Linked DNA regions of Cricetulus griseus. The protein of the gene in region 1 purifies or fractionates together with the protein of each later gene. This does not show direct contact. Links are inferred from orthologs where the notes say so. Each region holds a gene or a part of one and is shown in the gene's direction. Other genes may lie near its edges. The genes, in order: Pxn, Ilk, Git2, Git1 and Bcar1.

What was found.
Region 2: the proteins of Pxn (region 1) and Ilk purify together in Homo sapiens (affinity purification with mass spectrometry; 4 studies listed by BioGRID and IntAct, with this or other methods). This does not show direct contact. The link is inferred for Cricetulus griseus from reciprocal best matches to the Homo sapiens genes PXN and ILK.
Region 3: the proteins of Pxn (region 1) and Git2 purify together in Homo sapiens (co-immunoprecipitation; 3 studies listed by BioGRID and IntAct, with this or other methods). This does not show direct contact. The link is inferred for Cricetulus griseus from reciprocal best matches to the Homo sapiens genes PXN and GIT2.
Region 4: the proteins of Pxn (region 1) and Git1 purify together in Homo sapiens (affinity purification with western blotting; 8 studies listed by BioGRID and IntAct, with this or other methods). This does not show direct contact. The link is inferred for Cricetulus griseus from reciprocal best matches to the Homo sapiens genes PXN and GIT1.
Region 5: the proteins of Pxn (region 1) and Bcar1 purify together in Homo sapiens (affinity purification with western blotting; 3 studies listed by BioGRID, with this or other methods). This does not show direct contact. The link is inferred for Cricetulus griseus from reciprocal best matches to the Homo sapiens genes PXN and BCAR1.

Annotation. Positions count from the first base shown.
Region 1 is NC_048597.1:95,637,205-95,643,214, forward strand, and holds the start of Pxn (paxillin), read left to right. Parts: upstream 1-2,572; 5' UTR 2,573-2,587; coding exon 2,588-2,627; intron 2,628-2,731; coding exon 2,732-2,958; intron 2,959-3,209; coding exon 3,210-3,319; intron 3,320-3,654; coding exon 3,655-3,791; intron 3,792-3,879; coding exon 3,880-4,081; intron 4,082-5,060; coding exon 5,061-5,196; intron 5,197-6,010. UniProt on the Homo sapiens protein: Cytoskeletal protein involved in actin-membrane attachment at sites of cell adhesion to the extracellular matrix (focal adhesion). Recruits other proteins such as TRIM15 to focal adhesion.
Region 2 is NC_048596.1:93,962,698-93,968,434, reverse strand, and holds the start of Ilk (integrin-linked protein kinase), read left to right. Parts: upstream 1-1,853; 5' UTR 1,854-1,879; coding exon 1,880-1,968; intron 1,969-5,101; coding exon 5,102-5,267; intron 5,268-5,403; coding exon 5,404-5,499; intron 5,500-5,684; coding exon 5,685-5,737. Other genes in the region: Rrp8 (ribosomal RNA-processing protein 8), read right to left, coding at 1,027-1,125. UniProt on the Homo sapiens protein: Scaffold protein which mediates protein-protein interactions during a range of cellular events including focal adhesion assembly, cell adhesion and cell migration.
Region 3 is NC_048597.1:94,386,787-94,392,468, reverse strand, and holds the start of Git2 (ARF GTPase-activating protein GIT2), read left to right. Parts: upstream 1-1,861; 5' UTR 1,862-2,007; coding exon 2,008-2,059; intron 2,060-5,411; coding exon 5,412-5,545; intron 5,546-5,682. Other genes in the region: Ankrd13a (ankyrin repeat domain-containing protein 13A), read right to left, coding at 157-252. UniProt on the Homo sapiens protein: GTPase-activating protein for ADP ribosylation factor family members, including ARF1.
Region 4 is NC_048600.1:90,896,620-90,902,266, forward strand, and holds the start of Git1 (ARF GTPase-activating protein GIT1), read left to right. Parts: upstream 1-1,946; 5' UTR 1,947-1,961; coding exon 1,962-2,085; intron 2,086-5,647. UniProt on the Homo sapiens protein: GTPase-activating protein for ADP ribosylation factor family members, including ARF1.
Region 5 is NC_048596.1:188,123,432-188,128,346, reverse strand, and holds part of Bcar1 (breast cancer anti-estrogen resistance protein 1), read left to right. Parts: intron 1-1,703; coding exon 1,704-1,865; intron 1,866-2,070; coding exon 2,071-2,187; intron 2,188-3,094; coding exon 3,095-4,192; intron 4,193-4,795; coding exon 4,796-4,885; intron 4,886-4,915. UniProt on the Homo sapiens protein: Docking protein which plays a central coordinating role for tyrosine kinase-based signaling related to cell adhesion. Implicated in induction of cell migration and cell branching. Involved in the BCAR3-mediated inhibition of TGFB signaling.

The DNA of each region.
Region 1 (6,010 bases):
GAGATGGCTCAGTGGGTAAAGGTACTGTAAGCTTGGTGACTTGAATTTAATACCTAGAACCCATGCAAAAGTGGAAGGAGAGAACCAACTCTACAAAGTTGTATTCTGGGCCAGGTGGTGGTGGCGCACGCCTTTAATCCCAGCACTCAGGAGGCAGAGGTGGGTGGATCTCTGTGAGTTTGAGGCCAGCCTGGTCTACAGAGGTTAGTACCAGGATAGCCAAGGCTACACAGAGAAACCCTGTCTCAAAAAACAAACAGAAAACTCCAAAAACCAAAGTGGCATGTGATAAAAGAATATACCTGGTAGCTGGGTGATTGTGGCACACACATTTAATCCCAGTACTTGGGAGGCAATGGCAGGCGGATCTCTGTGAGTTCGAGACCAGCCTGATCTACAAAAGCTAGTTCCAGGACAGCCTCCAAAGCCACAGAAAAACCCTGTCTCGACCCCTCCCCCCAAAAAAGGACATACCTGGCATAGATTTCCAACCTCCACACAGGCTCGAACTGCTGAGCACACATACACACGCACACACAAAAGAAAAGAAAGAAAACAAATAAATGAGAAAGGCTCGTGCCGCTGGGAGTGGTGATGGAGGTCGGAGAATTGAGAGTTTGGGGCCACCTGGCTTACATAACAGGACCCTGTCTCCGTTCAGAGGTGGACGTTACCATGCTGCAAGGCACCAGGTTCTAGCTCTAGTACCATAAAAATAGAATAGAAAAAAAAAAAAAAAGAAGTCAAACCAGAATCTGGCCCATAAACCAATAAAGCCAGACACAGCATCGCACCATGGGTGCAGGGCATGGGGACTTGTTGAGCGGGCAGTGGAACTCCTGATTTACCGGCTAGCAGGGAAGGCCATTGTCTTCCTTGGAGTGTTTGGAACTGGAGGGAACTGTGTTATCCCTTAGCCATCTTTGGCAAGGGGGACCTCAGCCCAGCCCTCTATGGCAGTGTTGTTGGGTTGGGGGATGGCAAGTTCCACAGGTGAAGCTCTTGGCCCTGATAGGTGTACAGGACTGCTCTTGCCAGCCCCATCAGGGCTGTATTTGTGGCCTGCTCTGTGGAGCTGGCCCTGCAGGCTCAGTCTGTGATGGAGGAAGAGGAGTTCCGCCTACTTTGGGCTGGGCCCAGAGGAAATGGACAGCAGGTGTGGCCCTAGAGACTCTTTGGGATTGGCTTTGGACATTAGTTCCTTTTATGCCCTTACCTAGACTCATAGAGACTCCCTGTAGTTCCGGTTTGTTGGAGGCAGGAAGTCAGAGCTCCTCCGGGGGACCTGGACGGGGAGGGGCTGCAGGAGCAGAATTTCTTCAGCAGCAAGAGACTGGGACCCAGGGTCCCGGCCTTCGAACAACTTCTCGTCCAGCCATACAGCAGGAGCCAGGGGTAGGTGCACCCACCCTAGTGACAGGTAGTCAGGGCTGCTAGGAGAGGGCATGACCTCAAAGGCCCTTGCTTCCCTTTTCTCTGCATGGGAATGGAGCTACAGACAGGGCCGCCAGCAAGGATCAGAGCTCGAGCCCCTGGTGTGTAGGAAGTTGAGTTCCTTAGATTTGGTATCTTGTCTCTTTGAAATCACAGCAGTCCCTCCTGCAGGCTTGGTGTCTGGGACTTAAGGAGTCTGAGGAGTCTTGTGATCCTGCCCTTTCCTGCTTTATCACTCAGGGCAGGTACTGCTAGCCTCCAAGCCTACTTTCCTCAGCTCCAAAGACAACAGTTTGGCCTTTTAGGTCACCAGAAGGGGCACTTGTTTGTGACCACGCGTGTAGATGCCTTTAGTGGTTCCTAGTAGATGGTGATCAGTGCAGTGCAGCCACTGCCCCTCGATTGCCACTCACGAGGGCCCAGGAAGCAGGTCACTAGATGCTGAGAGTGAGCAGGTCAGTGAGCAGTGCAGGAAGGAGGGAGGGTGTGGTGAGCGGGGCTGGACTGTACCCAGGCCGTGGCACTGTGGAAGGTCCCAAGATGGGAGGCTATGGCAGGAAGGTCAGTACCTCCAACTCCTGTCCCTCTAGCTGTCCCTTCCTGTCGAGAACCTGAGCCTCTTGTCGGCTACTGCATGCCAGGGTAATGGCAGCTTGTGTTGGAGATCTGACCCACCCCCCATTAAAAGCGGAGTCATGGGGCCCTGGAGTTTCTAGGGCTGGGCTGCTTGCCAGGCTTTGGCAGAGCAGTCTTACTCCCAGCTTGTTGAGGGGGTGGCTGCTGCCGAGCTGGCTTCATGCCAGCCCCCTACCTCTCTGCATACCTTACCCACAGCCTGGGGCCTCAGGAGGAGCTTAGAGCATGGAATTCCGCTCCTACCTGGAGCACAGGTGCTCCCTAAGGCCACCCCCTGTCTTTAGACTTGGGCTGAGGCTCTTAGAAGTCCAGAGAGGACCTGGCTCTATCTACCCAGCCCCTCCCTGTGCTGTGACATGACGTAGGACTCCTCCCACCCAGCTCTCCCAGTTGCCCTCAGGAATCAGAGTTCTAAGCAGGCATTTCTTGCTTACACCAGGCAGCAGCAGCCTAGCCTTGTCAGGAGGAATGCAGAGCCAGGCATCTAACCCCTGAGGGAGGAGAGGACGGGCAGCCGATGTGGAAACTCCAGGTCTCTTCTCCCATCGAAGCAGCAGGTGTCTGCCAGACAGGATCTCTTCAAGTTCAGGAAGGCAGGACACTGCCCCTGGGAAGTGCCCAATAGGGCCAACTCTCACCAGTGGACGTCTTCTCTTTGCAGACGCCCTGCTGGCAGACTTGGAATCAACCACCTCCCACATCTCCAAACGGCCAGTGTTCTTGTCAGAGGAGCCCCCTTACTCCTACCCAACTGGAAACCATACCTATCAGGAGACTGCAGTGCCACCCCCTGTTCCACCACCCCCATCCAGCGAGGCCCTCAATGGCACGATCCTTGACCCCTTAGACCAGTGGCAGCCTAGTGGTTCCCGATACACTCACCAGCAGGTAAGGTGGGGTCTGCGGAGCCCTTGGGGGCTGAGTGGTAAAAGGAGCTGATCTGCCGAGGAGATGGAAAGCCATTGGGGATGGACTGGGATTCTGGGCTCCTAGTCATACACTGCCCTTCTCACCCACCATGTGAGGGGCCAGTGACCAAGTATTAATCACCTGACTAGCTGTGGAAATTCCCTGGTGAGACAAGCTATGAGCAGGAGCTGCCTGGGGGTGGCCTGAGTAAAGTACTCTTTCTTCTGCAGCCTCCATCCCCGTCACCTGTGTACAGCTCCAGTGCTAAGACTTCCGGTGCCTCTAACCCTCAGGACAGCGCTCTCTGTTCCCGAGCAGGCGAGGAAGAACACGTCTACAGGTACAGAACCAGCACTGTACATCAGCCCGGCTTCTGGGAAACCCTAGGGCCACTGGTGGAACTATAGAAGGCCTGAAGGCCCCTGCCAGGCCCTGTGCTTGTCAGCTGGCTCCCCTCTGCCCTGTCACTGCCTTCTCTGTAGAGACAGCATCTCTGTAGTTGAGAAACTGAAGCAAAATTTCCTTCCTCCTTGCCTTACCACATTCCTTCCCTACCCTCCGCCTTCTTGCTGAAGAGACTTGGTAACATTCCACCCCTCCGGCCTTGAGAATCTGGGGCCTGCCACATCCAGTGCAGGGCAGAAGAGTCTTACTTGTTTCCTCTCCTTCTCAAAGCTTCCCCAACAAACACAAGTCCGCAGAGCCTTCACCTACCATGATGAGCTCCTCCCTGGGCAACAACCTCTCGGAGCTTGACCGTCTGTTACTAGAACTGAACGCTGTGCAGCACAACCCTTCAGGCTTCCCTGCAGGTGTGAGCGGGTCTCTGGACTACTCATGGGCCTTTGGGTTCCTAGAGGACTCAGGGATGAGCAACCATTTTGTTTCCTTATCTCCAAGATGAAGCCAACTCAAGCCCCCCACTACCTGGAGCCTTGAGCCCCCTTTATGGTGTCCCAGAGAGTAACAGTACCCTGGGAGGAAAAACTGGGCCCCTGATGAAAGAGAAGCCAAAGCGAAATGGAGGCCGGGGCCTGGAGGATGTGCGGCCCAGCGTGGAGAGCCTCTTGGATGAACTGGAGAGTTCTGTGCCTAGCCCTGTGTGAGTATCCATTAGGGTCTCCCCAGGCTGGGGAAGCTCTTGAAGTCTCACCCCGACTGTCTTCGGGCTGTGTGGTACCTGTCCATCAGCCCTGAAGTCACCTGCTCCCTACAGTGTCTGCTACTTGCCAGGTCCTGGGGATATGGCATGACCCGGCAAAGCCAGGGTTAGCACAGGTTTGCTGATGTGGCACAGGGTTTAGATCATGGCTGTGCCAGCTACAACAGTCTTACTCTCGCTCTATAAGTTGGAATAAGCCAAAGTAGGGCATGGTGACACATGGTTATAATCCCAGCATTTGGGAGGTCGAGGTTTGGAGATCTCAGGTGCAAGACCAATCTGGGCTATATAAGTGAGTTCCAAGACAGTCTGAACTGCATGAGACCATAGCGCAAAAATACGACATAAACTATAAAATAGGTAAAGCAGACAGTAATAATGGAGATGACCCTACATAGTAAATAGAGTGAGACCAAATAGTATATAATAGTATATAATGTTGGGGGGGGTGGGGGCTGGCTCGTAGCTGTGGCAATCACAGCTATTAGGGAAGCCCCTAATAGCGTCAGGTCTTGTTTATTTTGAGGTAGGGTTTCACTCTATATCCCAGACTCTTCTGAAACTCACTATGTAGTAGCCCTCCTGCCTCAGCTTCCCAAGTGCTGGGTTACAGGGATGAGCCACCATGTGTCAGTGTTTATTGATGTGTAATAATCTCGCATGTGTATAGTGTTGAGAGGCTTTGTAGTGGTGCCCCTGTCTTCCTGTAGGGGTACTGTGAACCACCTACCTTCTCTGGTCACCTCACCTCAGCACTGTTTCTTAGCTAGTCACTCTTTCCCAGGGATGGGGATCCCTAAGGTGCTGCTGGGTTCTGGTGGCCTTCCCTGGAGTTGGAGGTGTCGTTGATCTGGAGCCCCCCCCGTGGAGCCTGGGGCTGACCCTTGGGCTCCTTACTGACTCCATGCCTGCCCCACAGCCCGGCTATCACTGTGAACCAAGGTGAGATGAGCAGCCCACAGCGAGTCACCTCCAGCCAGCAGCAGACACGCATCTCGGCCTCCTCTGCTACCAGGGAGCTGGACGAGCTCATGGCTTCACTGTCGGATTTTAAGGTGCCCTCTGATTCTCTCTGTCTTCCCTGCTCCCATCCATTACCCTTCCTCAGTATGACTAGCAGCTCCTCGGGGCCCTGGAGGAGAGAGGCTAGGTAATATTCAAGACTGAGCTCCTTAGCAGCTTGTGAAGGCAGAGAAACCAGAGATGCCTTTAGCTGGAACATTCCTCCCTCTCCTGGTGATCCCAGCCACCAGGTCAAGGGGACCAGGAGCTGGAACACAGTGACAATGAGCCCTGTGTTGATAGCTGCTCTTGGTGGGGGAGGGTATGTCCTGCTGGGCCCCGTGGGACCAGGACCTCATGCCTGAGAGGTCACTTGTCCCAGAGCTGTATCTCCCACGCTATCTGTCCTCAGAGCACCCGCTTTCTTTCTGCTGTGGGGATGGGGTTTTCCAGCATTTCCAGCCAGCTTCCTTCTACCCTCACTTTCTTCTTTAAGGGCCTGAGTTCCCAGAGTCCTGTCTGTGGGAAACTTAACCTGCCAAGCACCTGGCCAGTCGGCATGAGGCGTCCCACCTTCCCCTCCCAGGCTCTCCAGGCCTGCCTGTCCACAACGTTTTCTTTAGAAGATGTGGTGCCTCAATAGGGATTAATACTGACTGAAATTTCTCATAGTTGCTGACTTCAGCTCCATGTGGGTCAGCCAGAGACCTTTGAGGCACAGCTTGGGGAATATGAGAAGGGAGCCAGGCTGTCTGTCCATTCTTGGCCTAGAAGGTGCCTCCTGCCTCCCTTCAGCTGGACTCATACTTGGAGCTCACACGGAGGTGGGAGATTGGGTGGAATTGGGGCTGGTAATAGCAATCACCT
Region 2 (5,737 bases), on another chromosome or scaffold:
CTACCCTGCTTTTTTAAGCCTGTAAAGGATTGTCAGGTGATGTTCCTTAAAGGAATGTGCTAAGGTCACAAACCACAGGACCAAGACAAGACCGCAGCTGATAGCATTCCAGGAGCACCAGAGAGGTTTCTTGAAACAGGAAGGACAGCATCACACATGTCTATTAAAGATGTTCCTAACTGCAGTAGCGATAATAGCCAGGTAGGATGAGGCTGCACACAGGCAGGCCAGCGGCCTGCATTAGAAGGATGGAATACAGATTAAAAGAACACCCTGGGCTGACTAAAAGTCAGGAATACCCAAAGGAGATACAATAGTTCTCACATTCGATGAAACTCAAAGGAAAAGAAAGACCTGTTTTCTGTGAAGCTGACTTGTGGTTCAAGTCCTGCTGCTGATCCTCGGCCAGGCATTTACCTCGGAAATTCTGGGTTCCCCATACCTTTTTTAAAATAGTGATCCTGATAACCATCCCTGCCACCTGCTTTGACTGTGTCCAATATACTTTCTACAGTGCAACTAAGAACCTTTCCAAGCTGGGGGTGCAGCTCAGTAGTGAATGCTTGCTTACCAAGCCCTGGAACTGATCTCCAGTATAAAGTCATGCCTGGTGATAGAAAATGTGGCGAAACCACTCCATTGCTAAAGCAACTCCATTGACTTCTACCCTTAGCGTACGAAAACTTACTTTTCAAACCTTTCATTTACTCTGTACTCCACCCTCCGAACCTCGCATTCCTATCTTGATACACTCTAACTCGGTGTGTTTAACCCCTGGGCTTCTCCAGGTTTTTCTCCATCTCAGGTACGCTCTCTCCTCTGTACCAACTTCTCACCAACTGTATTTTAAGGTCAGTTTTTTTTTTTTTTGGGGGGGGGGGAGTTTCCGGATCTTCAGATAAGGACTAACTCCCTCCATCCCGATCCACGACAGCACTGCAGGCTCTCGGTCTCCCCAACACGCACAAGGGCGGCTCGGGAGGGTCGGCTTCGCCACCTCAAACAGCCCAGTCCCCGGCCGCTCACCTTGACTGGCGGAGCAGTCGCTGGCCGATTCTGTGTTGTCGCTGGACGGAGGCCCACGGCTGCTGGGGCCGCCTCGACCCATTCGGGCTCCTCGAACATGCCAGTGGAGGGCAGGGTCGCCGGAGCCCACGCCACGGCCACGTGCAAAGCCCGTCAGGGTATCGTAGCGTTGGACCCTAACCAAATCCAGCCGGAAGCCACAGAGTGAAAGCCTGTGGTGGCTAGAGCGGCCGGCGCGGAGCAGAGCACCATCGAGTGCAGCTGCCGGGAGCTAGAGAGGCAGTAGGAGGTCGGAAGGGAGGGACGGTGGCCCGCTCTGGCCCAAGAGGGCCGGGCGGGGCGGGGCGGGGCGGGGCCGGGCGGCGGGCGCGGCCGGACGGGAGTTCCCCGGAGAAGGCGCCTGCGGCCCGAGTCCCGGTGAGTGCGGGTGTCTCTGCGCCCTGCCCCACATTGGCCCTGCAAACCCATCTCTGCGATCTCTGCAGCAGTTACGAGCTGGGAGCCGGGGCCGCCCGGGAAGGTCCTCTGTCTCCTCCTCCGGGTGTTTGCAGCTTGTTCTCCCCCCCGTCCGTCCCCCCCCAGCCGTGCTCGCGGGTCGGGACTCGGTGCCCACAGACACCGGCTCAGGAGATTAGCAAAGTCCCTCCTATACCGCCACACCCTGCCTGTCCCTCGCGCCCAGTGGTCGTCTCGCTGCCCGAAGTCCTTCACAGACGACCACTGTCACTCTCGCAACGCCTAGCCCCCCATCCCAGAGCAGACAACTCTGTTCTGCAGAGAACAGAGCAGAGCTCATCCTCTTGTCTCTGCTTTCCCGCAGTCCCCCAAGGCTTCTCCTGTCCGGGACGCCGCTATGGACGACATTTTCACTCAGTGCCGGGAGGGCAACGCGGTGGCGGTGCGCTTGTGGCTGGACAACACAGAGAACGACCTCAATCAGGGGTGAGCTGAAGCGCTGGAGAGTGAGAGAAGGGCTGTCAGTCTACTCTCCGCTACGTGGGGTGCTCATGTCGGGCGGGGGCAGCTGATTTTGCCATCTAGTGTGAAGAGTATAGTAAGCACAGACTGTTGGAGGGGTATCTACATTGAGGAAGCTGTGTCTGAACTGAATTTATTAACTAAGCTTCACATTCAGAGGTTCCGGGTTGCTTTGCAGCCTCTGTGAACTCATGTCAATGGCAGGCCAGAGTGTCAGGCAATTGCCTGGAATTACATGTGGTTGGAGAATAGGTTTCTGTGCCCTGGAGCATTGGATAGAAGTGAAAAAGGACAGATGTCTGTAAGCAAAGTTCTGAAGCTGTGTGGTGATGAGACTGTCCATTTGTCTAATGTCATCCTGGAAGTTGCCTTGAAGTGATGTTTTGGACTAGAATTCGGACAGTTGAAAAACTAGAAGTGGTGAGATTCTCCCAGAGTCATAAGGATGAAGTAATTGACTTGACATGGGAACTGAGGGTAGTCAAAGATGGCCTGGGGTTTGTGAGGTTTGGGCACTTGGATACTTGGAAGTTGCTGATGTTCTGTCTGGACTGATACAGTTATGGTGGCACTACAGCAACTGGGAAATATTGGGCAGGTTGTTGGTTGTGTAGATTTGAATTTCAGGAGAAGTCTGACTTGGAGACCAAGATACCACAAATATCATTTAAATGGTATCTGAAGATTCTATAGTGTGAAAAATAGTACCTCAAAAGAGCAAGAAATTAAAGCAGAGGATTAGAAGCCTATCCAACTGACAGGTATCAACCTTCTGAAGGAGAAATAGGAAAATGGATTAAGATTAAAGAATGTTTTAATGAGCTGGTCACTTGTAGCATAGGCTTCTGAGAAGTTAAAGAACATGAATGAGTATCTTATGTTCTTCAGTTAACTTATATTTAGGTCATATTTGATCTTGTAAATGAAACTGCAGAAAATTAACAGGAACCTGCTTTATACTGGGTTCCTTCAAATAAGGAACACCACCTATAGTGGGTACTAGAGTCCTTAAATCAGACATAATCAATGCCCTCGAGATGGCAGGCTTCTGGAAAGGAGAAAAGTGAATGAGAAGCGAGGAAACGGAGAAAATATGAACACTTTCTAAAATGCTGGCTGATACAGGAAAGAAAGAAAAGTGTTGTTGGGAAAGTTTAGTAGGTGGTTTTGGTTTGCTTTTGGAGATAGGGTGTCATGTAGTTCAGAGTGGCCTCCATCCTACTGCCTCAGCGTCCTGAGTGCTGGGTTTTCAGTTTGCTGTCACCATGTGTGACTAGAAGAGTGTACTTTTTTAGGTTGTAAAGGATCATCTGTCATCTTAGGCCAGGTTTCACCAGTTCCCTTTAGGCTGTGTTATTTCTCTGTAATATTCAGTTTCATTTTTCACATGATTCGTAAGCTCTGGTACACACTGAGACATGTTTTGTTGGTAAGGAAATAGAAGTTTAGGCTGTTGTCCCCAGTGGGAGTGACATTTTGGAAGATTCCTTGCTGTCAAAAGGTGAAAGGGCATCATTAGGGAAACCAGAAAGATTTGGTGGCTTAAGGGGACAGGGTGTGTTGTTGGTGGTGGTTAATATCCTACAGGCTTTCTTGAGATAGAAATCTAGGCCCTGGGGTGACAGTGAGCAAAACTCAGTGCATTTATTTTTGTTCTCAAGCTTGGGCTTACACTGAGGCCAAGACTGCCGGAGGCTGTTAGGTCAGAACACATGAGAAGTCTGGGAGACAAGACTGATAGCAAGGGATATACTCACATCCTGGGAAAGGTTTTGCTGATTGTGTTAGCAGATGAGGGCTAACTGGAGGAACAATTTTTTTAAAGCTACATACCTCCTTCAGCTGTTGAGGGATTCTGGGTGACCAAGTCTGGATCAGCTCAAGGCCCCTCCTCCAGCCCCCTTACAGGAAATGACCACAGCACTAAGGCATCCGGAGGCTGCAAGCCTAAGCCACAGACCGCCCCGTCCCGCCCCTTAGATCTGCATCCCTGGACTGGAGGGAATTTCCTTTTATGGCTCCAGGCTGTCAGTTTGACCCAGCCCACCCAATTGTTTTGTTTGTACACTTCTCTTTATAAAATATATGTTCTTAGAGAATGAAAATACTAATCAGATATAGTTTTCATCTTAAAGCTTCTATATATGTTTTCTTTTGTGTGTTCTGGGTTGATAAGTAGGAAAATCCTGTTTTGTGTTATTATCTGCCTCATCAGTAATCAAAAGCATGTTTTTTTTTGTCATTATATCCCTCCAAAACATTTTAATTCCATTCCATTTTTAGATGTTAGTTTCAATACCAGAGCCAAATAGTAAGCTTGTTCCCTCTCCTAAGTTATGGCCTCCTTCTCCAATATGCCCCTCTCCCATTAACTTGCATAGAAAGAACATCAGCTGTCAGACTCTGTCCTCAAGCATATGATCTAACAGGCAAGACAGCTGACATCAACAGATTCTTTTCTTTTTTTTTTTTTTTTTTGGTTTTTCAAGATAGGGTTTCTCTGTGTAGCTTTGGAGCCTATCCTGGCACTCGCTCTGTAGATCAGGCTGGCCTTGAACTCACAGGAGATCCACCTGCCTCTGCCTCCCGAGTGCTGGGATTAAAGGCGTGCGCCACCAACGCCCAGCTACCTCAATAGATTCTTACAATCTAGTCAGTGTACATCTACAATAAGGAGAGGCACAAGAAGCAGTGGAAACAGAATTAAAGGTGTGGCTAAAAATGTATGAGCTGAAGATACAGCTTAGTGGTATACATAGCATATGCCAAGTATGTACAAGGCCCTGGGTTTGACTCCTAGTACTGTCAATCAAGGAGCAGCAGACGCCAAAGAACCCAGAAGAGTGCTATCACCTAATGAAGAACTGCTAGGGAAGAGGATCTAGGAGATGGTCATTAAAGTAATAAACCTTACAGTTGTTGGGACATCTGAGTGACTGGGTGTGAAGCTCAAGGGAAAATCTGAATTGAACTTTGTGAATTGCTGACATGAGTAAAAATTAAGTACTAGAGAGGCAAGCCTTCTCAGTGAATATAGAATTCTCCCATCAAAGCTTTTGTCCCTCCCAACCTCCAATTCCATGCCTCTTTCTCAAAGGGATGATCATGGCTTCTCCCCCTTGCACTGGGCCTGCCGAGAAGGCCGCTCTGCGGTGGTTGAAATGCTGATCATGAGAGGAGCACGTATCAATGTGATGAATCGTGGGGATGATACCCCCCTGCACCTGGCAGCCAGTCATGGACACCGTGACATTGTACAGAAGGTATGGGCAAACCCTTCAACACCCACATCTCACATGTACACAATTGTGAAGTCAGTAACAGCTATTGTCACATGGAGAATGTGTACTATCTAAATTTGGGACTATATTCTTTTCTTTTCTTGGCCATGGGGCGCAGCTGTTGCAATACAAGGCTGACATCAATGCAGTGAATGAGCATGGGAATGTGCCCCTTCACTATGCCTGTTTCTGGGGTCAAGACCAGGTGGCAGAGGTAAGTACTCAGACCTAAGTCCTAGGATGAGTGGGAAACAAATTGAGCATGGAACCATCAACCCATCCTGTCAATCCTACTGTGTGACACTTACAGGACAGTACACTGCATCTCTGTTCGTGCTTGCTTGTGACACAGTTAACAGCCCCCCCTCCCCCTGAATAAAAATTATCTTTTCTTTGCAGGACCTGGTGGCTAACGGGGCTCTTGTCAGCATCTGTAACAAGTATGGAGAGAT
Region 3 (5,682 bases), about 1.3 Mb from region 1:
TTCCCTGTCATATCAGCATTCATTCCTAGCGACAATGGAAAGGAGACACTGTACCAAAAGCCCTCGGCATACAGCCCGGTCTACAGGAATCGCTCGATACGGGTCCTAGCGGGGCTCGGGAGACGAACCGACTCCGACTCCGACTCGGCGCCTCACCTGGCCCCGCAGCTCCTTCTCCAGCTGCCGGTAGTCGTTGTTCCAAACCAGGAGGTGCAGCGGGAAGCGGCTGCTGGCTTCGCGGGCCGAGGACATGGCGAGGAGGCCGCGGCCCGGGCCTGACCGCCCGCCTGCCGCCACCAGCCTCGATCCGACGGGGTCTCGGGGACCCGCCCGCCCGACTGTCCAGAGAGCGAGGGGAAGAGAGCGGCGAGCGGGCGAGTGCGGGACGCGGCGGGCGGCGGGGGCCTCCGAGGCCGGAGCGGGCGGCTCTGGAGGCCCGGGGTCGCGGGCCGGGCTGGGGACCGGCTCGGGGACCCGCTCGGCCGCGCCCACCCCGCGCCCCGCGCGCTCGCGCCCGAGCTGACAGCTCGCGAACCGACTGTCGCCGGCCGAACCGCCCCGAACAGGGAAGTGCACGGGGCGTTCCACCGAGCGCCGCGGCGGGGGACGCGGCCCCGAGACAGACCCGAGCCTTGATCCATTTCGTCCCGCCGCACCCCCACCCCGGGACACACGACGATCAAAGGTCTATGGAAACGTGGGACATCCCCCCGCCAGGAAGCCTGAGATCCTCAAGCGCAAAATTCAGGGTGCGCGTCCCCTGGCTCTCCCCTGCCGCTCCAGCCCCTCCAGTGGTTCGCTCCACAAATGGGCCCCTTCCATTGGCTTTGTAGCCCGGGGGTGCCAGCCTGGACCAAACCATCTGGCTGGAGCCTTCCACGATTGGTCAGAAGCCATTTTGGAAGTGGGCAACACGAAATCGTTTCCACGGAAGGACTGAACCCTGGAGAGGTGGCACCAGATATCCTCAAGATATCGGGGTAGTTGTGTCTCTGGGCTTCTAAGCTTTGGAGTATTTGCACTGGAGGGTTCTTTGTTGTGGACGCTTTGTAGGAGGCTGAGCGCTGCCTACTCAATGCCATCAGCACTCTCCCCAAAACGGTCTCCAGACGTTCGCAGTTGTCCCCCGGAGGTTAAAACAAACAAACAAACAAATAAATCGCCCAGTTGAAAACCACTTATTTTGTCTGAATTCCCAACTAGGCTATAATTCAAAGTACTCACCCTGAAGGTCTATCCCGCATCAGTCTCGTTAAGCTAGCCATTCGGATTTAGGATTGTGGCCCAGAGGACTAATAGAGTAAGTCTCCAGGTTGGCCCACAACAGGCACAAGTCAAATCCATCCTCTGGGCTGCGACTTCTTGAAACAGTGAAGAACCAACCCAGTGTTGTGTCTGCCCAGATGTTTACAGCTGCCACGAAGTCGTCCCAGCTTTTCAGATGAGTGCAAGGGCCGGTCAAGAATTGTAACCAACCTAGCTCACTCCTCTGAGTGAAGCTAATACGGGATTAGTAACACCGAGATGGTGCCTAAAAAGCTTTAATAAAGGAGTGTGTGTTAACATCACTTTGGAGAGATGGGCATGACTAAATGAACTTAACTGATGACTGTCTCCGGGAGATTGTACGTTTAGAGTTTTTTGTCACAAGGTTTTGCTTCTTCCTCTGGTACTAATGGGTCCAGGATCAGGAAATCACTCCCCAAAAGGGAAAGCCCAACTGCGGGAGTATTTAGAGACAGGCAAAGGATGCTCGGGCAGACCTCTGCCCTCATTCAAGATGGCGATAAGGAAGCGTGCCCTTTCCGGTCACATGATCCGTCAGGCTCGGCAGGACGTCTCCCCGCGCGTGCGCAGTGTGCCGGGGCTGCGAGGCGCTGAGGGGAGAGGCGCCGCCAGCGCCGCCCGGGGACCCGTTAGAGCGGAAGCGCCACCACCGCCGCCACCGCCACCGCCGCCGCCGCCGCCTCTGCCGTCGCGGGGTTCCCGGCAGGTGAAGCGGGAGCCATGTCGAAGCGGCTCCGGAGCAGCGACGTGTGCGCCGACTGCAGCGGGCCGGGTGAGTGACGCCGGCGGGGCCCGCTCGCCGCGCTCTCGGGGTCCGGACTCCTGGCGGGGCTGTCCCCGCGGGCGGGAGGTTGGCTGCGGCCCAGCCACGCCGACCCCCCTGGCCGCCCGGGCGCGAGACGGTCCCGGGCCTGTCAGCCTCGCGGCCCCGGGGGTCGCTCACTCCTTTCCGCGGCCCGACCGAGGGCAGAGGCGACTGGACCCGGGAGTGGACGGGACGGGAAGGGTTCGGCAGCCCCGGAAAGCCGGTGACAGGAGGCAGACGCGGGCGGCCCGAGCGAGGTTGCAGGTGTTTCCCCTTCCCGGTCCCCCGGCCCGAGCGTGCGCGCGACCGCTGGGCTGCGCTGCCCTAGGGGCCCCGAGTGGAGGGTTGTCCCGCGCCCTGCAAGCCGCTCCTGGGGGGGGGGGGGGAGACAGCCCGAGCTCGGGTTCTCAAGTTTCCCACCAGGTTTCGCCCCTCTGCGTGACCTTGGACTAATGACTTCACTTGCTCTAACCTGGTTTTCCTCATTTTCCCGGTGGAAATTATCACCAGTACAGTGCGCAGTGGTCAGTGGGATATTCCCCAGGGGATCGTGTCTTTTGTATGATGTTACTCAGTTGAAAACCGTTGTAGTTCCTTCAGCTGCAATTTGGCTTCAGAAGTGTACCAAACACACAGTCGCTGGCATTGTAAACTCGGGGACATCGAATGGCCAAAACGGCTCCTACTGCAGATAGTGTTTGGATTCGAAGATTGGATCTGGCTTAGTAATTGGAATCCAATTGACATGTTTTGATTCGGATTTTTTTGTGATCATTTTGTTTCTTGGACTTGATTAACTTCGAGTGTTTAGTCAGTTACATATTTAGATGACTTTCCGATGTTCAATAAACAAGCCTAATTAAGTCTTTGAACACAGGCGGTTTGTAACTGTTTTCATCTTGTCATTTAGAAGCAGAGGCAGATTGTAAATGGTGCTGTGCTAACTCTTAGTTATTTCATAGTCCTGGCTACTACAGGTTAACAGTTCAGAGGGAAGGTAAAGACAGGCAGGGAGGGTTTTTAAAGGAGTGCTTTATACTCTAAGCCAGGTTTGTACAAACTATCATTTTCTATAAAATGTCGATTGTTCCGCTTCCTTCTTTTCTTGCCTGTTTTCCGTTGATTCATGTGTGTCTAACTTAAAACTTCCTCTTGGGATGCACATTCTTTACTTCTCCACTGGAAGGTACGAGGCAAAAGCAGATGGCTTCTCCTTGGTACCCTGAAAACTGTCTTGTCCATTTGTGCCATTTCAGGACCTTGTCTGTTGTTTCATATTAGTTGTCTTGAATGCCAAAATCTAGAAAAACTTGAGTCACTTCCTTCCTGTTTTGAATATAATGAGGCTACCTTGAAGGGTGAACTGGCAGACTAGGAATTTATGCTGCCTTTTATGCACCGCTTAGGTGGAGGGTCAGCTGTAGGATTCGGGCTCCTTTGAAATCTTAATGTGCAGGCCATCTCAGAAGACGATGAAATACTTAACTCTCCTGGACAGAATTTGCATACGATGGCCGGAGGCACAGATACCTTTGAAGTCCATGTGTAGTGTTTGTTCATGGAACCTTCCAGATAAACTGGAAGGACTTCACCCAACCTCATTGACAAAAGCTTGATTGTCATTTTCTGTGTTGTCAGTGTTCTTTCCTTGGGATTCTGATCCGTGGTGTTTAAGTGATTAATCAAGACCGTTGGTTTAATGTGGGCTAAACCATTGCTCTCCTCCTGGTTGATTTGCCTAGGAATACTGTGAACCTCTGACAATAAAAAGCAAAGCCACATGTCCAGTCCTAATACTAATAGACGATGCAGAAGCAGTGTTGCATGTGTCTGTCAGAATCTTCATACTCCCCGCCCGCCTCCTTAGAATGCCATAGTAGCAACTACAGTTGAACCTGCTGGATTCTTTTCTGTTTTGTCCTAGGGAACACACTTCACTATGATTATGTCTTGTTTACCTTTGTGGTTGGTGTGGGGGCTCCACAAAGCCCAGCCCTGATTCTTGTTTGTTTTTAATGAATCTAGTTCATTTAAAATGCATCATTCCTGTGCCCCCATGATAGATACTTTATTTATTCTTATTTGCATTGACCCTCCCTGTCCCACTATGAGGACACTCAAAGAAGTAACTTGCCTCGGATTATTGCACAAGAAGTGGTGGCAGAGTTGGAATTCAAACCATGGGCTCTTTGTCTCCATAACCAACCCTCTTACCACCGTATTCTCTGGCTCCCAGGGTTTGTCTCTGATTGAAATCCCATAACTTTTCATTATATGGTTTGAAGGGGTTAGAATAAATTGTTAAAAATGGTAAGCATGATATACATGCATTTTAGAGATTTTTGTGGACATTGAAGAATTTTAAAGTGTAACCCTTAGGCCAGGCAGCTGGAGTAGCACCTACTGTCACCGCACTGTGAGTCTGATGGAATGGGAAAGGCCTGTCTTTATTTGGGGTTTCTAAGGCTCAGTTTACTTGCCCAGAACCATCCTGCCTGAATAGTGTAAATTATTCCTCTTATGAAAGATTGTGTGATGAAGCTTTTTTGGATTTCAAAGGAAAGAAAGTATTGTACTCAACGAGAAATGCTGTTCATTTTGGTTTACGTCTTTATTTCTGTGAGGTGCCTTCCTTCGAGTCAGCTGCAAGACTGGATCCAGCAGGTTGTCTAAAACAACTGGTGTTGTCATAGAGCATTGCCTTAGAGGAGTGGGCCACCCTTTCCTGCCTCAGAAGAGCTGAACAATTCTGCAGTTCTCTTCTGGATTTGTGTTAGCATATGGGCCTTGACTTCCTACACTGGGCAGTGGGCACTTCACTGTTTACTTTAGATACTGTATGAGAATAATCCACTGTCAAGATTGTGTAGTCTTATTTACAAAGATGGACTAAAAATGATTCATTGAGTTGAGACGGAGCTCAATGGTAGAGCGTGCCCACCATGGACAAGGCCCCAGGTTCAATCCCCAGCACTGCAAGGAAACAGTAGAATGACCCACCCCTGCTCCTTCAATCTGCTTCTTTACCATTCTGTAAGAGTATGTGCCTATGGTGTGGTGGTGGACCCACAGTCAGGCTGCAGACGAGCCTGCACAGGAAGAAGGCAGCTGCTGTGTAGGGCTGTAAGTTCAGTCAAGGTGGGTGGGATCCTCAGGCTGGTCCATCCGAGTCATATATTGAGAAACATAAAACAACAAAAACTTGTTCTGTTTTTTTTTTTTTGTTTTTTTTTTTAAATCAAGTGTCAGCCATCTTTCACCACCCTGTATATAGCATCCAATTAGTGTCCTTGCCACTGAGGTGTCATTCTTTTTCCAGATCCTTCCTGGGCATCAGTAAATAGGGGAACTTTTATATGTGACGAGTGTTGCAGTGTACATCGGAGTCTAGGACGCCATATCTCCCAAGTAAGGCATCTTAAACACACACCATGGCCTCCAACACTGCTTCAGGTAAATAATAAGAAAATTTTCATAATTGGAAATTTGTGTTTTAGGATTGTTATTTTAGCAACTAAAAGATCTCCTAATGTACATCTTAAATCTTATAAAAATATTTGGATCATAAATGGATAAAGTGTTGTACCCTT
Region 4 (5,647 bases), on another chromosome or scaffold:
TCTTGTTTGAAACAAAGAAGGTGTATTTTTTTAATCCCGCAGGCAGGGAGTCACACTTGAGTGACCTCTTGGGCACCTGGCCGTCCATATTGGTGGTAGCGCGTGTACTTGGCGGGGATGTGGCCACAGACCCACCTGGACACTGACACGGACACAGAAAGGACCAGAACACACACCTCACCCCAACCCAGCTTCTGACCGCGAGGAGCAATGTGCCTGGGGATGCTTCTTGTCCGCCCTAGCACCCATCACATCCGTCTCTCGGCTCCTGGACCACTCCCCAATCTGAAAGTGAAGGTCAAAGAGCTAGCGGGGTGTCTCGGTTGCAGACCAAGCTGGAGCGGGCCGCGGCTCCTTTAAGAGGCCCCGTCCACTCGGGCCGGCGCGCAGGCTTCCTCTCTCTGAGAGGCGCGGCCTTGGAGAGGAGCGGAGCAGCGGGGCGGGGTGCGTGCCGCCCCTCCCCCGGTGGGCAGGGCCTGCGCTGCTTCCTGCAGGAGCGGCCCGGGCCGCGCAGGGGGCGGGGAGAGCGGCGAGCGGCGGTGGGGCGGCGCGGGGCGGCGGGGCGGAGGGCGCCCGAGGGCGAGCGGGCGGGCGGGCACGGCGGGTTCCGGGCCAGCCCCGGGGGCGGACGGTTGGCCGCGCGTGCGGAGCCTTGCGGGGCCTTGCGGGAGCCGGGCCGGGCCGTAGGGCCGCCGCCGCCGCCCGGGCCCGCCGCCCGCGCCCCCCACGCTGGCCCTGAGGGCTGCGGCCGCGTCGCCGCTGAGGATGTCCCGGAAGGGGCCGCGAGCGGAGGTGTGTGCGGACTGCAGCGCCCCGGGTAAGCGGCGGGACCGGGCCGGGGCGGGACCGCGCCGCAGGCCGCCGCCGGGCGGGCGCCGGGGCCTGGCGGGAGTGCCGTGCGGGGCCGGAGGGCGGGGCGGGGGCCACTGCGGAGCGGCGTCCTTGGCGGGAGGGCCGGCTGCGGGGGGCGCTGTGCCTTCGAGCCGGTGGACTGGAGGGAACCGCCTCCCACCTCCATCTCGGCATCCAGACGAAAGCGCCAGCCTGGGGTGGCAGGAGGGCCGTGGCGGAGGCCCACAGGCTGTGGGAGGTGGGCGCTAGTATGGTTTGTGTCATCCCTGCCACCCCCGCGTCTTGCACCTGCTGCTCACATGGTCCGCGTGCCCGCCGGAGCGTTGGAGGGCAAGGGGCCTGGATACAGGTTTCTCGGGAGCACCTGACGGGGGTGGCTACTCTAGGACGCCCAGTCCCTGATCCCCAGGGCTGGGGCTCATTGTAGGGGCCCTACGTTAAGGGACAATGTAAGTATGGGCATCTTCCCCGGAAGCATCTCCAGGCCTGCTGGTGTCTGGGAACAGCCAGACTCAGCTTTTCCTGTTCCGGGTAGGCCTGTTTAAGAAGGTGTGCTAGGTATTGCCTCAGTCTAGACACCGATTCCTCTTGCTCTCTAGACCATTCTGGATCAGAGAAAGTGCCTAGGCTCCCCTTGTCCGACTGGGTGGACTTGCACACTGCTTCCTCCCCCTTTCCCAGCAGAGTTAGGTCTGGACTGGTTTGAAAGCCCTCTGGCTTGCTGAGGAGGGCAGCAACTTACCAGACTGGTCCCTTAGGTGGAAAGACACAGCCAGTGATGGGACTTAGCAGCTGGCCCGAGGAAGGAAGCTCTGGCCTTTGCCCATCCTCTATAAAAGAAGCTGGCTTTCCAGATAGGCTCGGAGTCTTATGAACTCCATGGGGACTGTAGAAGTGATTAGGTGAGAGTGTGGAGTGCTGACTTGCAGTCACCCCTTAGAAGTCCCAAGATCTTATAGTGTGAGCCCCACAAGGAGTGATGGTCCCTTGGTTCTTGTGCTCTACGGTAGAGTATTGGGAGTTGTGGACATCTGGCAGGGGTGTGAGCATGAGACCTCCTTAAGGTATGTCATGTTTTGTAGGGCCCTGGAGGATCTATTTACAGATAGATGTCCTTGCCCCTAGTTAGCTGGAAACTGTCACTCCCTTCCCCTGGCCATAGGTTGGCCTGGAATGGAAGAGCTATTCTGCATTGCTGTGGGGTAAGCCTGGGGGCCTTCCAGGTACCATCAGGTGAGTCTGGGTTCCAGATTACCTTTGTTTCCAGCTTACCCTGTGACCTATAGCAGCACTTTGCTCACTCTGGGCCTCCATTTCCTCAACTATAACACAAAGAAGATGGGATAGAAGTGGATTTTGAGGTTCCTCCCAGTCCCCAGTCTCTGTTCCTGGTTCTGGAGCAGAGACCTGAAGATAGTATCAGCAAAGCTATGTCTTCTGTGTTGTCTGTGACTGCCTGGCTGGAGCCTCTGGGGACCCAGTGGGTGCTAGGAGGAATGGGTATGTCAGATGTTAGGCCACTGAGCTCACAGCCCCCGGCCTCATATGACAGAGGCAGGCCCACCTTCATACTCTTTTCCTTCCCGCTGATCCAGAATGTAAACCAAGCATATGTGCAGAGCATTGACAATCTCACTCATTATCTTACCTTAGCACCTAGGGCAGTGATTGGCACACAGCAGCCACTCCCCAGGTACAAGTGTTGGTGTGTGTCAGGACTGCACTACACCACACTGGTGCTGACACACAGTGTCATTCTAGATCTGGGCTTATAGCATCCTGGATGAGAGCATGAGCATGCCAAGCATTCTCTTGTATCACATGTGTATGATATATGTACATATATATATATATATATATATATATATATAGAGAGAGAGAGAGAGAGAGAGAGAGAGAGAGGTATATCTTATATCCCTGTATACTCATACATCCCAGTATATCTCTAGTCCAAAGTCACAGACACCCAAAGTCATAGAACTCTGCTGTTAGCGGGGTATGATAGCACATGCCCAGCACTTATGAGGCAGATCTCCAGGCCAGGCAGGGCTATGTTGTGAGACTATGGGGTAGGGTCATGGTCCTTTTATAGCTTATTAACTTGGAGGGTGATAGAGGCAAGAGGTGAGATGCAGTCTGTGCTCAGAGACAGGTGTAAATGTGTTGTAAGGCATCTGGACACAGTATAGCTGCTGGCAGTTTGTGCTACCTTACCAGTTGCAGTGTTCCTGCCTGCCTTGGGAATCCAGGGTAGGACAGGAGTCAGAGTGCACCGGAGAATGTTGGCTGTCCCCTTCCTTTGCCTCAACCCACTCTGCCTCATTGCCTTGCTTCCCAAGAACACTGGCCTGGCTCTCAACTGTCCACTTCTCAATCCATAACCTATATATCAGCCTTACACTTTGATACACAAAAGTAAAGACCTCCAGATACACAGCCTATAACTGATCAGAGCTGACCACCAGCTGAGGAACATGTTGCAGGGCAACCTATAGGCTCATTTGTCTTCTTACAAGTGCAGGACAGATGGTAGGCTTTGCTCCTTTTTTCCCCCGAGACAGGGTTTCTCAGTGCAACCCTGGCTGGCCTGGAACTCACTTTATAGACCAGACTGGCCTCAAACTCAGAGATCCACCTGCTTTTGCCTTCTGAGTGCCGTGATTAAAGGTGTGCATTACCACGTCTAGCTCTTTGTGGGTTTCAGACATGTGTGAACTTGTGTGGCCACCACTCAATGTATAGGACATTGCTTCCACCTCTGACCACGCCCCCAGCAGTAACCACCACTTTGACCTCTGTTCCCTTGGATTCCTCTTGCCTGCGTTCTGCATAGCAGATTTCCCCCCTCATTTTCCAAAAATTTGGCTCCTAGCTTAAGGGGGAAAGGCTTGAGGCTGGTCTTTATATGCAGACCTGCTGGCCGTAGAAGCCACTGATGGCTTTTAGAGGTGACATGAATTTACTTTAGGGCCTTCCTATGGTTGACTCCATTTATCTTATCCAGTGTGCTTTCTGATGTCTGGCCCCTTATACTAACCCTTACCTGCCTGTGGAGCAGCCAGAGGAAGGTGCCATGTCCTCTAACCCTCGCATATCCTCCCTTTCTGTCCCAAGTTTGCAAGTAGCAGAAGCCCTTCCTGGCCCTTATACTTGAGAACTGGCAAAGGTGGGATTTTAACTGGCTTGGCAGGCCAAGGTTGGACCTAGAGTGCAGGTAGAATTGTTAGGACTGACTTCCTATCTGTGTCATCCAGAACTGGCCCAGACCAAAACAATGTCCCCTGCCCACCCTTCCTGTTTGAGGTCACTGCAGAGGAATAGGAGGACCCTTCTCAGGCAGGGAAACCACGCCAAGCAAAGCCTTCAAGATTGAAGCTTTGGGACCACTGGCCCTGGATATCAACTGGTTCCTATAGACCCTCCTCGGGGCCACAGGGGGCTGGGGTGGAGGCCTCAGGGCTGCCCATTTCTGATCCTGGCCTGGGCGTCTCCCCACTCACAGGAAACCCTACCTCTTCAACAAGAGGAATTTAGGCTGCATCATTTCCCGCTTCCTGCCTGGACTGCAGGAGGTGACTGGCAGGCAGACCCCCTGACCCAGTGGTGTTTGGAAGTGGGGGAAGGGAGTTTTCCATGTCTTTGGGCGGGGGTTCTCATTGTTTGGGTAAAACCAACACTAAAGACTCTAGGGCTCCCCCTTTTGGCGGAGATGACTGGTTTCCCAGTTCTTAGAATCAGTCCCCCTCGCCCCAGGGCATGTACTATGTACGTCCCTCATTGCCTTGTTTTGTGAGTCCCCAAAAGAAGCCTGGATCCAAAGACACCTCTTTTAATTCCTGTTTCCACACTGTACTGGGGAACTGCCTCCCAACATGGGCAGAGCTTAAGCCCTGACTCAGTCTGCTCATGGTTGTGGGAACTTTGATGGAGACATTGGCTCCAAAGGCCTGCCAAGTGCCTTCTGGTTGCTCAAGATTACCTTCATCCCAAACCTGTCCAACCCCGAAGAGTCGAGTCCCCACTTCGGAACATCCTGAATTGTAATAAGGAAGGCAGAGAGCCAGCCCCACCCCCAGAACAAGGCTTCCTGGGCCTGGGTGGGGGCCTGGGCAGAGCAGAGTGTCCTGGGAGAGCAGCTCCCTGCCCCCACTCTGGACAGCACACAATGGCCGCTTTCTCCCCCATGACCTTTCCTTTCTGTGGCCTGAGCTGTGTGTGCTTTCTCCTCCCCTTCTCCAGAGGGGCTTGGGGTGGTAGCATCTCTACTACCCTTGAGGACCAGGAGCTCCTACCCACTTGTCCTCACTGGAGAATGGCTTCCCAGGCTGGTCCTGAGACTGCAGGGGCAGAGGGCAGCAAGTTTAGGCTTGGCCTGGTCTGGCATTGAAGTACCTGCCTCCAGCATCCCAGCAGCTGTGCTTATTAGCTGTGTGACCTTGAGCAAGCCCTTTGACCTCTCTGAGCCACTGAATCCTCATCAGTAGAGCAAGATAGCACTTGTGAAAGGAATTGTGAGCAAAATACTTGGCCAGTAAATAGTGAAACCTCAGCCAAGGTTAGTTCCATTGCTCAGTCTGTCCTTAAGGCTGCAGCCCACAGTTGATGGTGGCATGAAGCTGGAAACTCCAACTGTGTCAGAGTAGGGGTAGGAACCAGTCTGTCGGATGGGGTCCAACAGGAACATACCCAGGACTGTGTGATACACGGCGTCAGGGTCATATCCCATAGGAGACTTCTGCCTCCCTGTGGAATGGCTAGGCAGCAGTCTTGATTCCTGAGGAGAGGCTGTGAAACT
Region 5 (4,915 bases), on another chromosome or scaffold:
TTCCCAACAGAGAAACATTTGCCAGCCAATATGGCTGCTTACTGTCAATGTGATATGACTCAGGTGTAGGAATAGGAGCTGCCCTGCCTTTTAGCCCTAGGACTGACCTTTAGGGGTCTGGCAGTGAGACTCTCTGGCCTGTGCATACAACCCTGTCTACATGAGGCCCAGATAGGTGCTGACAAGGCAGAGGTGCTCTCTGTACTGGGTCTTGGCCTGCCTCTGTCTGAAAAGTGCACTATCGCCCCTTTTGGGTTTGAATTCCCACCTAGGCGGCCTTGGCCTAGAGAAGCCTCAGGCCTTGCCACAGGCCCGTCTAACCTGCCACGTCCCTCAGCCCCAGTCTGCTGTGCCATGGGCAGGTTCCAACATCTAAAAATAGCCCTGGAGGAGACTCAAGTCTGGGGCCTGAGCAGGGAGATGAGTCTGGAGAGGCAGCTGCAACTCCGCCCCCCAGGCCCTGTTATTGGTGGGTGGGGACACCCCACAGAGGAGACCCTGCAGCCCCTATAGTGGCACACACCAGCCTGCCAGGCTGTCTGCTAGAGGCAGTCCAGAATCCCAGCTGGACTGAGTGTTATCTGCCTAGCTCAAATGGAGGTTGTCAGGTCTGGGTCTGCCGGGTGCCCCTGTGTCTTGGGGGGGGTGCTGAGGGGTTATGCTGGTGTATGCCTGCTGAAGCTTGGGTTGGGTTTGAGAGTGTTGAGCCTGAACGTGGCAGGGTATGTGTGTGTGTGGCGGCCCTGAGTCAACCCTGTCCCAGACATCCCCTTTGATTAGAAAACAAAAGGCCTTTCTGTGGAGAAGGCTGAGCAGGGAGCCCCATGGGGGAGGGTGCCCTGAGCCTGGCTGGAGAATCTTGTAGAGGGGAGGCTGCCTGGCACACTTGCATCCCTTCCAGGCTGAGTGCTGCTGTGGAGGAACAGCATGGTCCAGGGGGTAGTGCCTGCCCTCCATACAGAGCCCACTGCCATGGATCCAGGGTCAGGGTCCTGGGAAGGAAGGGACTGGCTCCCTCTGACCAGGGACTCCCACTAAGGCCTTACCCTTTCAGGTGGGCAAGATAGCTTATGGGTGTGGCTACAGTGGTTCCAGTTAGAATTCCTTTGCCATGTAACTGACCTTATATCCTAGCCCTGTGCGTCTGCTCAAGAGTTAGCTCTGTGGTCATTATGTTCAGTAGTCCTACTAAGTTACTTAGTCCTACTAAGGGAGGGTTGCTTTCTGCCTTGCCAGGCTATATCCTCTGCCTCCAGTGTCTGGAAATGGTGGTGGTCCTATAATCAGGTCGCTGTCTTGCCGAGCAGAACTTTGAGGGGCAGGGCAGCTTAGAGGTGTCAACAGGAATGACACAAGAGACCTTACGTGGGCTGGCGCCTTGCCCACTGGCGTTGCCTCAAGAGTCAGGCCTTTTACCCTTCCTATCCCATCTTGTCATTCACATACCCTACTCTGGAATCTACTGGGTCATCTGGCTGTAGAGACTTTCTGTCTCATGGCCCAGAACCACACAGCTCTAAACAAAACTTAGGGGTCTAATAATTGTTTCCCAAGCACTGCATTTCACTCCAGAAAAGGAATGAGAAGCAATGCCTCTAAGCCTACCCTTGCAGAGCCCCACCACTACCTCTCCCATGGATCTGTGGGTAGGTCATAGGGGCTAGCTTCAAGGGCCAGTGGTGCAATCAGCTGTTTGTTCCCAGGTGGTGGTCCCTACTCGAGTGGGACAGGGCTATGTATACGAGGCCTCCCAGACAGAGCAAGACGAGTATGATACCCCACGCCACCTGTTAGCTCCAGGTCCCCAGGACATCTATGATGTGCCCCCTGTACGAGGACTGCTTCCCAGCCAGTATGGCCAGGAGGTAAGTATTGGGGATCAGAGGCATGGGAGAGGACAGGGACTGGGCCTTGCTGTGGGAGCTGTATATTCTCAGCCTAGCCAGGGCCTGAGAAGCACAGCAGCTACAGCCCAGGTGCCCAAGGTAGGTTTCTGGGGACTTCCACTCATCCCATTAAACCATATATCCCTGACAGTTGTATCATTGCACCTTCTTTTGTGCCCTCCAGGTATATGACACACCTCCCATGGCAGTCAAGGGCCCCAATGGCAGAGACCCATTGTTGGATGTGTATGATGTGCCTCCGAGTGTGGAGAAAGGCCTGCCACCAGCCAATCATCATTCGGTAAGGAGCCAGCAAATGCTGGGGCCTTGGACCTTTCTAAAGGTGAAAAAGGCACAGATGAGTGTATGAACTGGGCTTGGACTGCTGTCTGCAGACCCTGGCTCTGTCTTTACTTGCTCCGGGACAGATATAGAAGCTGAATGCCCAGGCTGTAGAGATGGGTCAGTGGCCAAGGCACTGGCTGCTCTTCCTGAGGACCCAAGGTCAATTCTCAGCACTCATGCACTGTCTGGCAGTGTCAGGTGATCCAACGTCCCTTTCTGATCTCTTAGCACCAGGTATGCATTTGGTGCACAGACATCCGTGCAGACCAAACATCCATTCACATAAAAAATAAATAAGTACATTAATTTTAAAAAAGAAAATAAATGCCCTTCTGAGCCCCAGAAAATAGCCCATTGTCAGGTCTTCTCATTATGTATGCTCTGAGAGGTATCAAAAAGGAAGAGCACAAAATCTGTCTTCCAAACCAGGAAGGACACTTGGAATGTAAAAGGGACTGATAATCATACAGAATTGTCTTGAGAGCCAACCGGAATCTAACATACAAAGCCCAGCCAAGTGCTTGATACAAATAGAAAGACTACCAATGAGAGTGACATTGGGTATTGTGGTGGGAATGAGACAAACAAGCAGCATTGGCACTATGGTAGCAAGTCTCTCCTACATGTCTGCAGTTAAGAATTGCACACTGAACACATATATAGCCTTTCACTGGGAGGGAGTTCCCCATCTTACAGATGAATAACCAGGCACTTAGAGTTAGTCAGCTAGCCCCAGGGCTAGGTTCTTGGCATAGTCGTCATAGCTAAGAATCAGGCTGGGTGTGTACATTGGCTGGGTTCTGCCCCTGAGCTCCAGGGCTGAGCAGACAGACAACAGTCTTAATCATTACTTGGTCCCCTAGGTGTATGATGTTCCTCCGTCCGTGAGCAAGGATGTGCCCGATGGCCCCCTGCAGCGAGAGGAGACATATGATGTACCCCCTGCCTTCGCCAAGCCCAAGCCCTTTGGCCCAACCCGACACCCATTGATCCTTGCTGCGCCTCCCACAGACTCCCCACCAGCTGAGGATGTCTATGATGTGCCACCCCCTGCTCCTGACCTCTATGACGTGCCCCCTGGTTTGAGGCGTCCTGGCCCTGGAACGTTGTATGATGTGCCTCGTGAACAGGTGCTCCCTCCTGAGGTGGCTGATGGGAATGTAATTGATGATGGTGTGTATGCTGTACCTCCACCAGCTGAACGAGAGGCCCCAACAGATGGCAAGCGCCTGTCGGCCTCTAGCACAGGCAGCACACGCAGCAGCCAATCAGTATCTTCCTTGGAGGTAGTGGTGCCAGGCCGGGAGCCCCTGGAGCTGGAGGTTGCTGTGGAGTCCCTTGCGCGGCTGCAGCTGGGTGTAAGCACCACTGTAGCCCACCTTCTGGACCTGGTGGGCAGTGCCAGTGGGCCTGGGGGCTGGCGTAGCACCTCTGAGCCTCAGGAGCCTCCTGTGCAGGACCTCAAAGCTGCAGTGGCTGCAGTTCACGGGGCAGTACATGAGCTCCTGGAGTTTGCCCGCAGTGCTGTGAGCAATGCCACCCACACTTCTGACCGCACCTTGCATGCCAAGCTTAGCCGGCAACTACAGAAGATGGAGGATGTGTACCAGACACTGGTGGTCCATGGTCAGGTCCTTGACAGTGGCCGGGGAAGCCCAGGATTCACCCTTGAAGACATGGACCGCCTGGTGGCCTGCTCACGGGCCGTGCCTGAGGATGCCAAACAGCTGGCCTCCTTTTTGCATGGCAATGCCTCACTGCTTTTCAGACGGACCAAAGCCCCTGGCCCAGGGCCTGAGGGAGGCAGCTCCCTGCACCCCAACCCCACTGATAAAGCCAGCAGCATCCAGTCACGCCCTCTGCCCTCACCCCCCAAGTTCACCTCCCAGGACTCTCCAGATGGGCAGTATGAGAACAGTGAAGGAGGCTGGATGGAGGATTATGACTACGTCCACCTGCAGGTGGGTTCTCAGCCTGCCTGGGCCCCAAAAGCTCTGACCATGATCTCCCCTGGCCTCTTATCCCACACATAGAGATCTTGTGGTCAAAGGGAGATTTGGGCTCCAGGAATGGTCACTGGTGAACCCTAGTGCCCTCTCTGTATTTTGTGCTATTAGACTGATGATCAACTTGACTATGTTTTTGGGCCTTGAGGGACCAATCAGGATGGCTCCAGAACACCTTGGGGAATGGGCTTTCCTAGTGGCCATAGATGTGGCTCCATTCTATGTAGAAACATTCTGAGGAGACAGATGGTAGAGTCTAGATGACATAGGACAAGGGGAATAGGGAGGTAGGATGAGAATGACCTCTGAGAAGACACCTGCATGCCATTCCATTTGTAGACTAAGGGAAGGATTGTAGAATGACTGTACCCTCTACAAAGCTACCTTCCTGCACCAGACCCTTCCTGTAGGGGCTGCTTCCTTTACAAGCTGCCTCTTCTGGGCCTGGTGTGCCTACACTGCCACCTGGTGGTTCCCTGGCCCTTGCACCCATGGTACTTGCTGGTGCCTCTGTCCCAGAAGAGACTTCTCAGTCAGTGTTTTGTCTCTTCCCTGCAGGGGAAGGAGGAGTTTGAGAAGACACAGAAGGAGCTACTAGAAAAGGGGAACATAATGCGGCAGGGAAAAGGCCAACTGGAGCTGCAGCAGGTGAGGCTCCCAGTAGTCACCTTACGGTGA